Linked DNA regions of Saccharomyces cerevisiae S288C. The gene in region 1 interacts genetically with each later gene. Each region holds a gene or a part of one and is shown in the gene's direction. Other genes may lie near its edges.

Region 1 (3,271 bases):
CGTAAACATACTTCGCCTTTGAAAAACTTTAACTTGAAAATAGAGTATAAAAAAAAATTGCACAAAAAATGCGGAAGCCGGGAATCGAACCCGGGCCCCATGCTTGGGAAGCATGAATTCTAACCACTGAACCACTTTCGCTAAGAAGATCTAGCTTACATAGGTTTTGTGGTAATATAAATTCTTGAGACCGTAACCGCGCAAAGAAATACCTAAAATAGTAATTGCTAACTACATCTAAAAACAGACTGAAGCTCACTAGATATGAGACTTTTCTCACATCTTCAAAATAAAGAAAACAATAGCAGGCGAAATTTTTTTGAACCTGGTTATACAGTGCATGCTCCAAAATGTCGTCTTTAAACACTACTTTTTATTCTAAATAATTACTTGAAGGGGGGAAAGAAAAAGCTCAAAAACTACTCTTTTAAGACTTTATTACCGTCCTTATGATATATCATTAAATAGGCTGTGAACCCTTCACCATTCGGATCGCAATTGCCGTTAGAGTCGACCTCACACTCACCGTATTTGAACGTCATGTAATTTCTAAATCCAAAATATTCGTACACAGATTTAGCATGCTCGGCAATAGCTTCAAGGACAATGGCGCAATTTTCTTCGTCTGCTCTCCTTTTGTACTCTTCAAAAATAGTCCTTACAGAACCTCTGATTCCTTTCTCATTTAAGTTCTTACCAATACAGAAAAGATAGTAGTAATTGATGCCATTTGGAATGACTTGCTTTACGCGAGCATTTAAATCGTCAATAAAGTCCTTGTTGAACTTTGCATCATTACTCCTTGCCTTCGGAACGTGAGGTGGAAGACTCCACACTGCAACAGCATCGAAAGTATTAACTTCGGAGATCTCACCATAAGGTGAATCCAGGAATGGCGATATGATATCGGTGGTTATTGTCCTTGTAGGCACCTTCTCAGCTAGAGGAATATTTAAGATTTTCTTGCAGATAAAATGAAACGCTGGCGAGTTACTAAAAGCAATAGACAAAGTCTCTGCTGCTCTTCTGGCATCCGTAGTCTTGTTCAGGGTACAGACCATATGGCCCTTAGCATCGTTGTTTTCTAATGGAGTTGGCAGTTTGTTCTCGAAGGACATGATGTTCGGTTACATGTCTTAGAATTATTTTCTCGAGATTAGTGAGTGACTTGGCATAATATCAGGTACAATAACTGTTATATATACGCCGGCGGCATTTCATTTTTTTCACTTATCTCAGCCCCTGGGACTCTGATGCCGTTCACACCAACGTCTGCTGTGATTTGGAGTGAAATATCTGGATACTAATAGAAATATTACGATAAAAAAGAGTTATCTACAGTTTGCTGCATTATTTTTGCGTTATCGGTCAATCAACTTTAAGAGATCACCGTACATTTCCGGCAGCATTAGCGGGCGTCTCTTAGTTTCTTTGCAATACAGTAGGAACTCCAATTTTTTGTTCGTCTCCTCGCTACATTCAGATTCAACTGCAATCTCGAAAACAAGTTTTTTATGCCGCCAAAATAGGTATACATTGCGTTCAATGCATTCTCATTCATCTCTATCGCAAGAACGTCTTGTTCAAAGCTGCCCTTTCTTGAGGCTTCAAGCGCAGCGCACAGAAAAGAAGAAAATCCGAACCATGTAATATAGATCGGCGGAAACGAAAAGTAAAAAGTAAGGTTGAAGACACTCTGAACCCGGGGAAGAGTGCATACAAGGTACCGTGCCAAAATTCAAGAGATTAGGGCAGGAATGATGGACAAGCATAAGTATCGTGTGGAGATTCAACAGATGATGTTTGTCTCTGGTGAAATTAACGACCCACCCGTAGAAACCACATCACTGATAGAAGATATAGTGAGGGGTCAAGTGATAGAAATTCTTTTACAGTCAAACAAAACGGCGCATCTTAGGGGAAGTAGGAGCATTCTCCCTGAAGACGTCATTTTCTTGATCAGACACGACAAGGCCAAAGTCAATCGTTTGAGAACATATCTGTCATGGAAGGATTTGCGTAAAAACGCCAAGGACCAAGATGCTAGTGCCGGTGTAGCGAGTGGCACTGGAAATCCTGGGGCAGGTGGTGAAGATGATTTGAAAAAAGCAGGTGGTGGCGAGAAAGACGAAAAAGATGGTGGAAACATGATGAAGGTCAAGAAATCCCAAATTAAGCTGCCATGGGAATTGCAGTTTATGTTCAATGAACATCCTTTAGAAAATAATGACGACAATGATGATATGGATGAGGATGAACGAGAAGCTAATATAGTCACTTTGAAAAGGCTGAAAATGGCTGACGATAGAACACGAAACATGACTAAAGAGGAGTACGTGCATTGGTCCGATTGTCGACAGGCAAGTTTTACATTTAGGAAGAATAAAAGGTTCAAGGACTGGTCTGGAATTTCGCAATTAACTGAGGGGAAACCCCATGATGATGTGATTGATATACTGGGGTTTCTAACTTTTGAGATTGTCTGTTCTTTGACGGAAACAGCTCTGAAAATCAAACAAAGAGAACAGGTATTACAGACTCAAAAGGACAAATCCCAGCAATCTAGCCAAGATAATACTAACTTTGAATTTGCATCATCCACATTACATAGAAAGAAAAGATTATTTGATGGACCTGAAAATGTTATAAACCCGCTCAAACCAAGGCATATAGAGGAAGCCTGGAGAGTACTACAAACAATTGACATGAGGCATAGGGCTTTGACCAACTTTAAAGGTGGTAGACTCAGTTCTAAACCAATTATCATGTAAATTTTTGTATAATTTCATCATGGAGGTGCATGGGTTTCCTTCTGGTATGATAAATGTGAGCCAAATGAATTGAAAAATACAAATAAAGATTATGTACGTAGATACGCGTTATAAAGAGGACTATCTGATCATTGGGGTCTTTTTCGTTGTGAAATTGTAACGGGTGAACTCAGTGATTAAAAAATTGCGTGATGTTGAGATACTATGGGGCGACAAGAAACTTACCCTTAGTATTCAGCATTAACAAATTAATGTTGAGGGCGTCATCTTTCACCAGGCCATTTCATTATAGTTCATATTCTCTACAGAACGGTGATACTCCTGATAAAGGCAGCACTAATAAAAATGAAATACGGACACCTAATAACGCTGTTTGGAAAGAAAATATAGAACTTCAATGGCAGCACTTGAAAAAGAAATTAAATGAATTGTATTCTAGGTTTAACTTCCACCGAGATCAATTATCCTTTCAAGTTAACAAGGCCAAAAAATCAATTCAA
Region 2 (3,760 bases), on another chromosome or scaffold:
GTACTACGGGGGACGAAAAGATCCTAATCATAGATATAGTATCAATATGGTCCCAACAAAAGCAAAGACAGCATGGCGCGATCTACATGAATTCGCTATCTTGCATAAACATCACGGGATTAATCGTATTTCTAGAGTTACTGTATGACTCTCCCATGGATGCGTTAAGGAGGTGCCAGGTTGATAATTTCAACTTTCAATTACGAGGAATAGTAATCGACAATTTGTCTTTCTTGAATTTTGAAAGCGACAAAAACTATGATGTAATAAATTTATCGAAATTTGAAAAACTGTTTAAGATTCTAAGGAAACTAAGAGAATTTTTGGGCTGCTGGATCATCACCAAAAGTTTTCCCACAGACTTCTATAATGGTATCGAAAACACCTTAGTTGATAAGTGGTCAATCAAGAGGAAAAGCGGCGTTACACTGTACCCCACAAAACTACCTGATTCATACATGAAGGGAATGGATCTGATAATCTACAGAGAAGTTGTTGACGGCAGGCCACAGTACAGAAGGATAGCCGCACTTGAAGAATGATAAGAGAAGGAAAAAAAACATTAAAAACTCAGATACATAAATTAAATATCTACTAGTACTAATAAAAACAGGGGAAAAGTCGTTATGCTGCCGGGAATCAATGGTATTTATAGCCGCATTGTTTACCTACGTGTTCGTTGAGCCAAACGTCAACGTTCTCGAACTTCAGGCCGCAATGCTTACATCTACCAGGAACAACATTTCTATCCTTTTTCTTCGTGCCTGGCGGGTATTCAAAATGCAAAGCCTTTAAATGGTTTTTGAAGGTGTCGCAACGTGAGAACACCCCCGTCTGGTGACAATTGGAAGTCTCAAAATTTAAAGGTTTCAGTTTATACGGGTACATATCCATGTCCAATTGTATTAAGGTGGAGTTGAATGGGCACTTGAATGTGCCCTTGATTTGATGCAACGATTTCAATTGTGCATAATCTGTGACAGAATTCATCGGTGTCATTTTTTCATGGGTATCATCATCATTGGGAGAAACGGATCCTCCCTTACCATCATTATGGTTCGAAAGTACTCCCGATTGGGACAGTATCTCATCCTTCCAATGTCTTTTCTTATGCCTCAATAAGTCATTGTTCCTGGCGAACCCGCGGTGGCAGATGGGACACTTGTGAGGCCGATCCTCTGGCGTCAAGTGCGTTGCCTTGTGCGTGGTCAGATTGGCATAAAAATTACGACAAATTGGACATTGCTTCTTTTTCCTTGGCTTATTGATTTTGGTGCTATGGGGGGTACTCACCCCGGCACCGCCAACAGATGAAGGACCAGCCACTTTTAAAATTGGTGAAATGGAACGTGAAGGTGATGCAGATGAAGAAGTTTCCGATGCAGAAGCGGAACCTTCCGTAGGCTGCTGCACGGAGGGAAGGAAGCTCGAGCTGGAGTTCGACCGGGACACATCATTGGAGTGCGGAAGCAACTGATAGCTCAGCATCGACGATGATGCGCCCGCACTGCCACTGCCGTTACTAATGTTCATATTAGGCAGTGTCGGATGTGTCGAGGCGGACGAAGCCTCGCCATTATATTGTCTCTCGGCTGCCTTGATAAGGTTGTCAAATGACGAGATGGGAGGCAACGTGATGTGGTTCATAGCACTATTGTTTGCATTACTCATCGCTCGCTGCACATGCCACACAAAAAACACCCACCCTGATTTCTCGAAACCAACTTTTTGTCACCAACATGCAGCGCTTACCAACAGTCTGTCTTCTTTATACCGTTGCTTTGTTCCAGATGGTACTGCCATGCTTCCAACGGCTACAAAAAAAACACCGCAACGGCGAAAAAATGGCGCAATTATTCACCGTGTAGTCATTTACCACGGCCGGGAAAGCGCGAATGGGATCAGCAAACAATAAACAACACATAACATGAACCATCAAGAGATGGGAAAGAGAGAGTTTGCTGGCAGCATCCACAGGATAAACAAGCACGAGAGCACATATGAGAGCGATGGACACACAGGTACAGAGTGCTGAAAGAGGATTGGTGTTGCCTCCCATGAATTCAACTGTATCGTCGGCGACGGCGGCTACGACGGCCACAAATACGGATACAGATACAGATGGAGATAGAGATGAGGAAAGGGAGTCGTTAGCAGAGGATGGTAGCGAATGGGTGCCCGCATATATGCTTACCAGAGACAGGTCACGCTACTTGGGCCATTTTCTGGGTGTAGACAAGATGCTGGAGGCAGTAAAATGCAAGTACTGCGGTGTGATAATAAGACGGCAAGGAAACAGCATAAGCATGGCGGAAGCCTCGCAAACTCATTTGTGGAGCACGCATAAGATAGACCCGAATGCCAATTACTATAGCGGATGGACGGGCGTAGAAGCAGGTTCTACTTTTATGGTCAGACCACCTTTGAAGAACCATCAAGGCGGTAGCGCCACAACGAACAGCATTGCTAACCTGCTGGAAATAGACGAGGACTTTTTGAAGAGAACTAGGGAAAAAGAAATGGCCTTGCCTCTTGTGCAGTCGCTTGCGATCATAATTGCATCAGAAAACTTGCCTCTGTCGTTCGTAGACAACACTGCCGTACGCCTTTTGATCAATCAGAACGCCAACTCACTAAGCTTCATTGACCATGACTTAATTCTGAATGCTATCAGGTCCATCGCATATAATCTCGATAGAATCATTCAAAGGACAGCTTTGCGAAACAATTCCGATTTGTCGTTGATTATCGACAAAAACTACTTACTAATGGACCCAACCGATAGATCTAATCAGTTATCAAACAGGTTGAAGAACCAATTATTTGAAATGCAAAAAATCAATTTTTTCTCTCTAAGCCACTCCGTTTGGAATAACACGATATCTATATTGAGTATTCAGTACTATGATGATTTTCATTCCCAAGTAAAGACTTTACCCCTTATCATCCAAAACTTACATGAATATAACAATGACCCCAAACTATCTATTCCAGCTCAACTGCTCAAAATCTCACAAGAATTACCTGGTTTACAAAATACTGTGATTTCTATCACTCTACCAAGATCTCAAATAGTAGATCTACTAAACGTAATGGATAGCCAACCCTTTTTCCCGAATACGTATACGAATGCTAAAAACTATTATCACAATTGCATTATTTCCATAATAAATTCTGCGATATTGCCATTGTTCGGTACGCCTAAATCCGCCGATATTACGCATCCGAGACAATCATCATTCTCCAAAGAACCTTTGACTTTATTGGACTCTCTAATTGATTTGTCAAATATAGATATTTCGAATTCCATTTTTTCCAGAATCAATTCTTTTTTGGATGATTTACAATCTAATTCGTGGCAGTTAGATAAATTCCGTTCATTGTGTGAAAAATTTGGCTTCGAATTCGTTTGTTCGAAATTCGATTTATCCCGTTACTCTACCGCCACCGTTTCACTGCAAACTTTTTTGAACCTTCGTCCCATAATAGAAGAATATCAATCTTCTATCCAAATTGAAAAATTCAACGAAATCGACTTTCAAATAATAGACTATTTATTAATTACTTTGAATTCCATCAATAGAATACTAAAGTTCTTTACTTCTTCCAAAAGCTTAAACTTTACCTATGTTTTGTTCGCCATAATGTCTATTGAAAAGCATCTGTTGTCCACCTTGGGCAGCCTACAATTTCAACGGTTAATTGCACCATTTGAAACATTTTTGTCTAAAATTCAAGAATTCAAAACCATTTTATTTTC
Region 3 (3,760 bases), on another chromosome or scaffold:
AATCCTAAAACTTACCGGGACCTATCGAAACCTATGGGCGCTCAAAGTGAGAAAAGGAAATTACAGTTTATAGAGCGTTATGAAGCTTTGGCTTCCCTGGAAAATGCTGATTCCGCACCATTTCATTATGGCACGCATTATTCCTCAGCTATGATAGTATCTTCATATCTGATAAGGCTGAAGCCCTTTGTCGAATCCTTTTTGTTATTGCAAGGCGGAAGTTTTGGCCCTGCAGATCGTTTATTTAGTTCGCTTGAAAGGGCCTGGAGCTCTGCTTCTTCTGAAAATACAACGGATGTCAGGGAATTGACACCTGAATTTTTTTTTCTACCTGAATTTTTGATCAACGTTAATAGTTATGACTTTGGTACAGACCAAAGCGGTAAAAAAGTTGACGACGTCGTACTTCCACCCTGGGCAAATGGTGACCCAAAGGTTTTCATTCAAAAGAATAGAGAAGCTTTAGAAAGTCCTTATGTATCAGCACATTTACATGAATGGATTGATTTGATATTTGGTTACAAACAAAAGGGGGACATTGCTGTGAAATCTGTTAACGTATTCAACAGATTGAGTTACCCAGGCGCTGTAAATCTAGATAACATTGACGATGAAAATGAGCGCAGAGCTATCACAGGCATTATTCACAACTTTGGTCAAACGCCTTTACAAATATTTCAGGAACCTCATCCGGAAAAAATAGCCTGCAATGTTCAACAGCTAACAACAGAGGTATGGCGTAAGGTTCCAATGAAGCCAATATTTGAGAAGACAATCTTTAATTTGAATGAAAAGAACAGGTCCGTCGATTATGTTATACACGATCCTAGTTACTTCGATTCATTATACTGGAGGGGCTTCGCTTTCCCAAACTTGTTTTTCAGAACGGAAGAATCGTTAGTGTCATTGAGAATTGTGCATAAAAATTGGTTAAAAATTGGACTAGATATTTTTAAAAAGACGCATATGGCTCAGATTACATCGTTTGCGTACTGGAAGTTGGGCGAATTCATAACTGGCGATAAAAATGGGCTGATAAAAGTTTGGAAATATCGTAAAGATAAGCATTCGGTTTCAGGTAACCTTGAGAACAAAAAAACAATGTTTGGGCACCTATGCGAGCTAAAGGAGATGCGCTGTTATCACGACTACAATACGCTTTTAACCTTAGACATCAGCGGCTTAGTATATGTCTGGGACATGATTAATTTCGAACTAGTAAGGCAAATAACAAATGATGCGCAAAAGGTCGCAATATCTCAACATGCAGGGAGCATTATGGTATTGACTAAGAATAACGCCATTTCGATCTTCAATCTAAATGGACAAATATATACATCAAAGAAATTCGAACCAGCTAAAATTGTAAGCTCAATTGATTTTTTTGACTTCACTAAGTTAGACGCAGGTTACAGAAAGCATATCTATTGGAAAGAGATGGAAATACTACTAGTGGGCTTTGAAGATGGAACTATAGAAATTTACGAGCTCTTTTTGAATTTTCATAATGAATGGGCGATAAAGCTACTGAAGCAGCTCTGTACCGAAAAAGGGAAAGCCATAACTAGCATTAAGGGACAGGGGAAGACATACCTGTCCCAGAAAAGACGCAAGGATACAGCAGAGCCTCATGAGATAGAAGTGATTGCGGGAACATTAGATGGCAGATTAGCTATTTGGTACTAGGCATCACATCGTAACGCCTTTCTTTAAATGATTCAATTTTTGTAGTTTATATCTTTACTTTTGAAACTGATTTCTCATCCCATCTAGTATTGTAATTGCGTACGTATCCAATATCATTACCAACGCCGGGTATTTTTTTCTAGTATTTCTTCTCCATTTCGCCTATGGAAAACGGCAAAAGGGTAAAAGAAAAAAACAAACGATTAATTCTTCTTTGAATTATGTAAAAATCAAAACGCAACCGCAGATTTAATAGAGACCAGAAATTCGGATTACTATTGACTTTGTGCACCACCTTCAAATTTACTCATTGTTTAAGACAGGCAGTGGGAAAGAAGCCGTCATATTGCTCGAATCCTTAACAAGCAAAATATACAACCACTAAATTATTCCGAAAGGGCCTGCTTAATAATTTGCCTACTAACTTGTGCATAGAACAGCAAACAGAAACAAAGCGTAAGAAACATGGGGTATCCGCCACCTACACGAAGGCTTGGAGATAAGAAAAGGTACCATTATTCCAATAATCCTAACCGAAGGCATCCTTCCGCTGTTTATTCCAAGAATAGCTTTCCAAAATCAAGCAATAATGGATTTGTATCTTCTCCTACTGCCGATAATTCAACAAATCCGTCTGTAACTCCCAGTACTGCATCTGTACCTCTTCCTACAGCGGCACCTGGAAGCACGTTTGGTATCGAAGCACCCAGGCCATCTCGATATGATCCGAGCTCAGTCAGTAGGCCTTCGTCATCATCTTATTCGTCAACAAGAAAAATTGGAAGCCGTTATAACCCAGATGTGGAAAGATCCTCTTCAACCACTAGTTCAACTCCGGAAAGTATGAATACGAGCACCATAACACACACCAATACGGATATCGGAAACTCACGCTATTCTCGAAAAACCATGAGCAGATATAATCCTCAATCTACTAGTTCTACAAACGTTACCCACTTTCCCTCGGCATTATCAAACGCTCCACCGTTTTATGTTGCCAACGGGAGTTCTCGGAGACCTCGATCAATGGATGATTATAGTCCTGATGTAACGAACAAGCTCGAAACAAATAATGTTTCATCTGTTAATAATAACAGCCCTCATTCTTATTACTCTAGGAGCAACAAATGGAGATCCATTGGAACGCCTTCCAGACCACCATTTGATAATCATGTCGGCAATATGACGACCACCAGCAATACTAACTCGATCCATCAAAGGGAACCTTTTTGGAAAGCAAATAGTACTACTATTTTAAAATCAACTCATTCACAGTCATCGCCTTCCCTTCATACTAAAAAATTTCACGATGCGAATAAATTGGACAAACCAGAGGCTTCAGTTAAAGTTGAAACACCCAGTAAAGATGAGACAAAAGCCATATCGTACCATGATAACAATTTTCCACCAAGAAAATCAGTTTCTAAACCTAATGCACCTTTAGAACCCGATAATATCAAGGTTGGCGAAGAAGATGCATTGGGGAAAAAAGAAGTACATAAAAGTGGGCGTGAGATAGCAAAGGAACATCCTACTCCTGTAAAAATGAAAGAGCATGATGAACTAGAAGCTCGCGCTAAAAAAGTAAGTAAAATCAATATTGATGGAAAGCAGGACGAAATTTGGACGACGGCAAAAACAGTGGCCAGTGCAGTCGAAGTTTCCAAAGAAAGTCAAAAGGAACTAACACGCTCTGTTGAAAGGAAGGAAAGCCCAGAAATTAGAGATTATGAAAGAGCATACGATCCGAAAGCCCTGAAAACAGACGTAACAAAGTTGACAGTAGACAATGATAATAAAAGTTACGAAGAACCTCTTGAAAAAGTGGAGGGGTGTATTTTCCCATTACCAAAAGCAGAAACGAGATTATGGGAATTGAAAAACCAGAAAAGAAACAAAATAATAAGTGAACAAAAGTACTTACTGAAAAAGGCAATTAGGAATTTCTCAGAGTATCCTTTTTACGCACAGAACAAACTTATACATCAGCAGGCTACCGGACTTATCTTGACGAAAATTATATCAAAGATAAAAAAGGAAGAACATTTGAAAAAAATAAATTTAAAACATGATT

Evidence for each region.
Region 2: mutations in SPT3 (region 1) and VID22 together harm fitness more than expected from each alone (negative genetic interaction), as found in Saccharomyces cerevisiae (3 studies listed by BioGRID).
Region 3: mutations in SPT3 (region 1) and SNT1 together harm fitness more than expected from each alone (negative genetic interaction), as found in Saccharomyces cerevisiae (4 studies listed by BioGRID, with this or other methods).

Annotation. Positions count from the first base shown.
Region 1 is NC_001136.10:1,256,939-1,260,209, forward strand, and holds SPT3 (transcriptional regulator SPT3), read left to right. Parts: upstream 1-1,757; coding exon 1,758-2,771; downstream 2,772-3,271. Other genes in the region: IAT4 (Iat4p), read right to left, coding at 420-1,118; SHE9 (She9p), read left to right, coding at 2,963-3,271. UniProt on the Saccharomyces cerevisiae protein: Component of the transcription coactivator SAGA complex. SAGA acts as a general cofactor required for essentially all RNA polymerase II transcription. At the promoters, SAGA is required for transcription pre-initiation complex (PIC) recruitment.
Region 2 is NC_001144.5:869,608-873,367, reverse strand, and holds the start of VID22 (Vid22p), read left to right. Parts: upstream 1-2,000; coding exon 2,001-3,760. Other genes in the region: PSY3 (Psy3p), read left to right, coding at 1-542; STP3 (Stp3p), read right to left, coding at 640-1,671. UniProt on the Saccharomyces cerevisiae protein: Has a role in the negative regulation of gluconeogenesis. Imports fructose-1,6-bisphosphatase (FBPase) into the intermediate vacuole import and degradation (Vid) vesicles. This is an indirect role and requires cyclophilin A.
Region 3 is NC_001135.5:184,338-188,097, forward strand, and holds the start of SNT1 (Snt1p), read left to right. Parts: upstream 1-2,151; coding exon 2,152-3,760. Other genes in the region: BPH1 (Bph1p), read left to right, coding at 1-1,686. UniProt on the Saccharomyces cerevisiae protein: Part of the Set3C complex, which is required to repress early/middle sporulation genes during meiosis.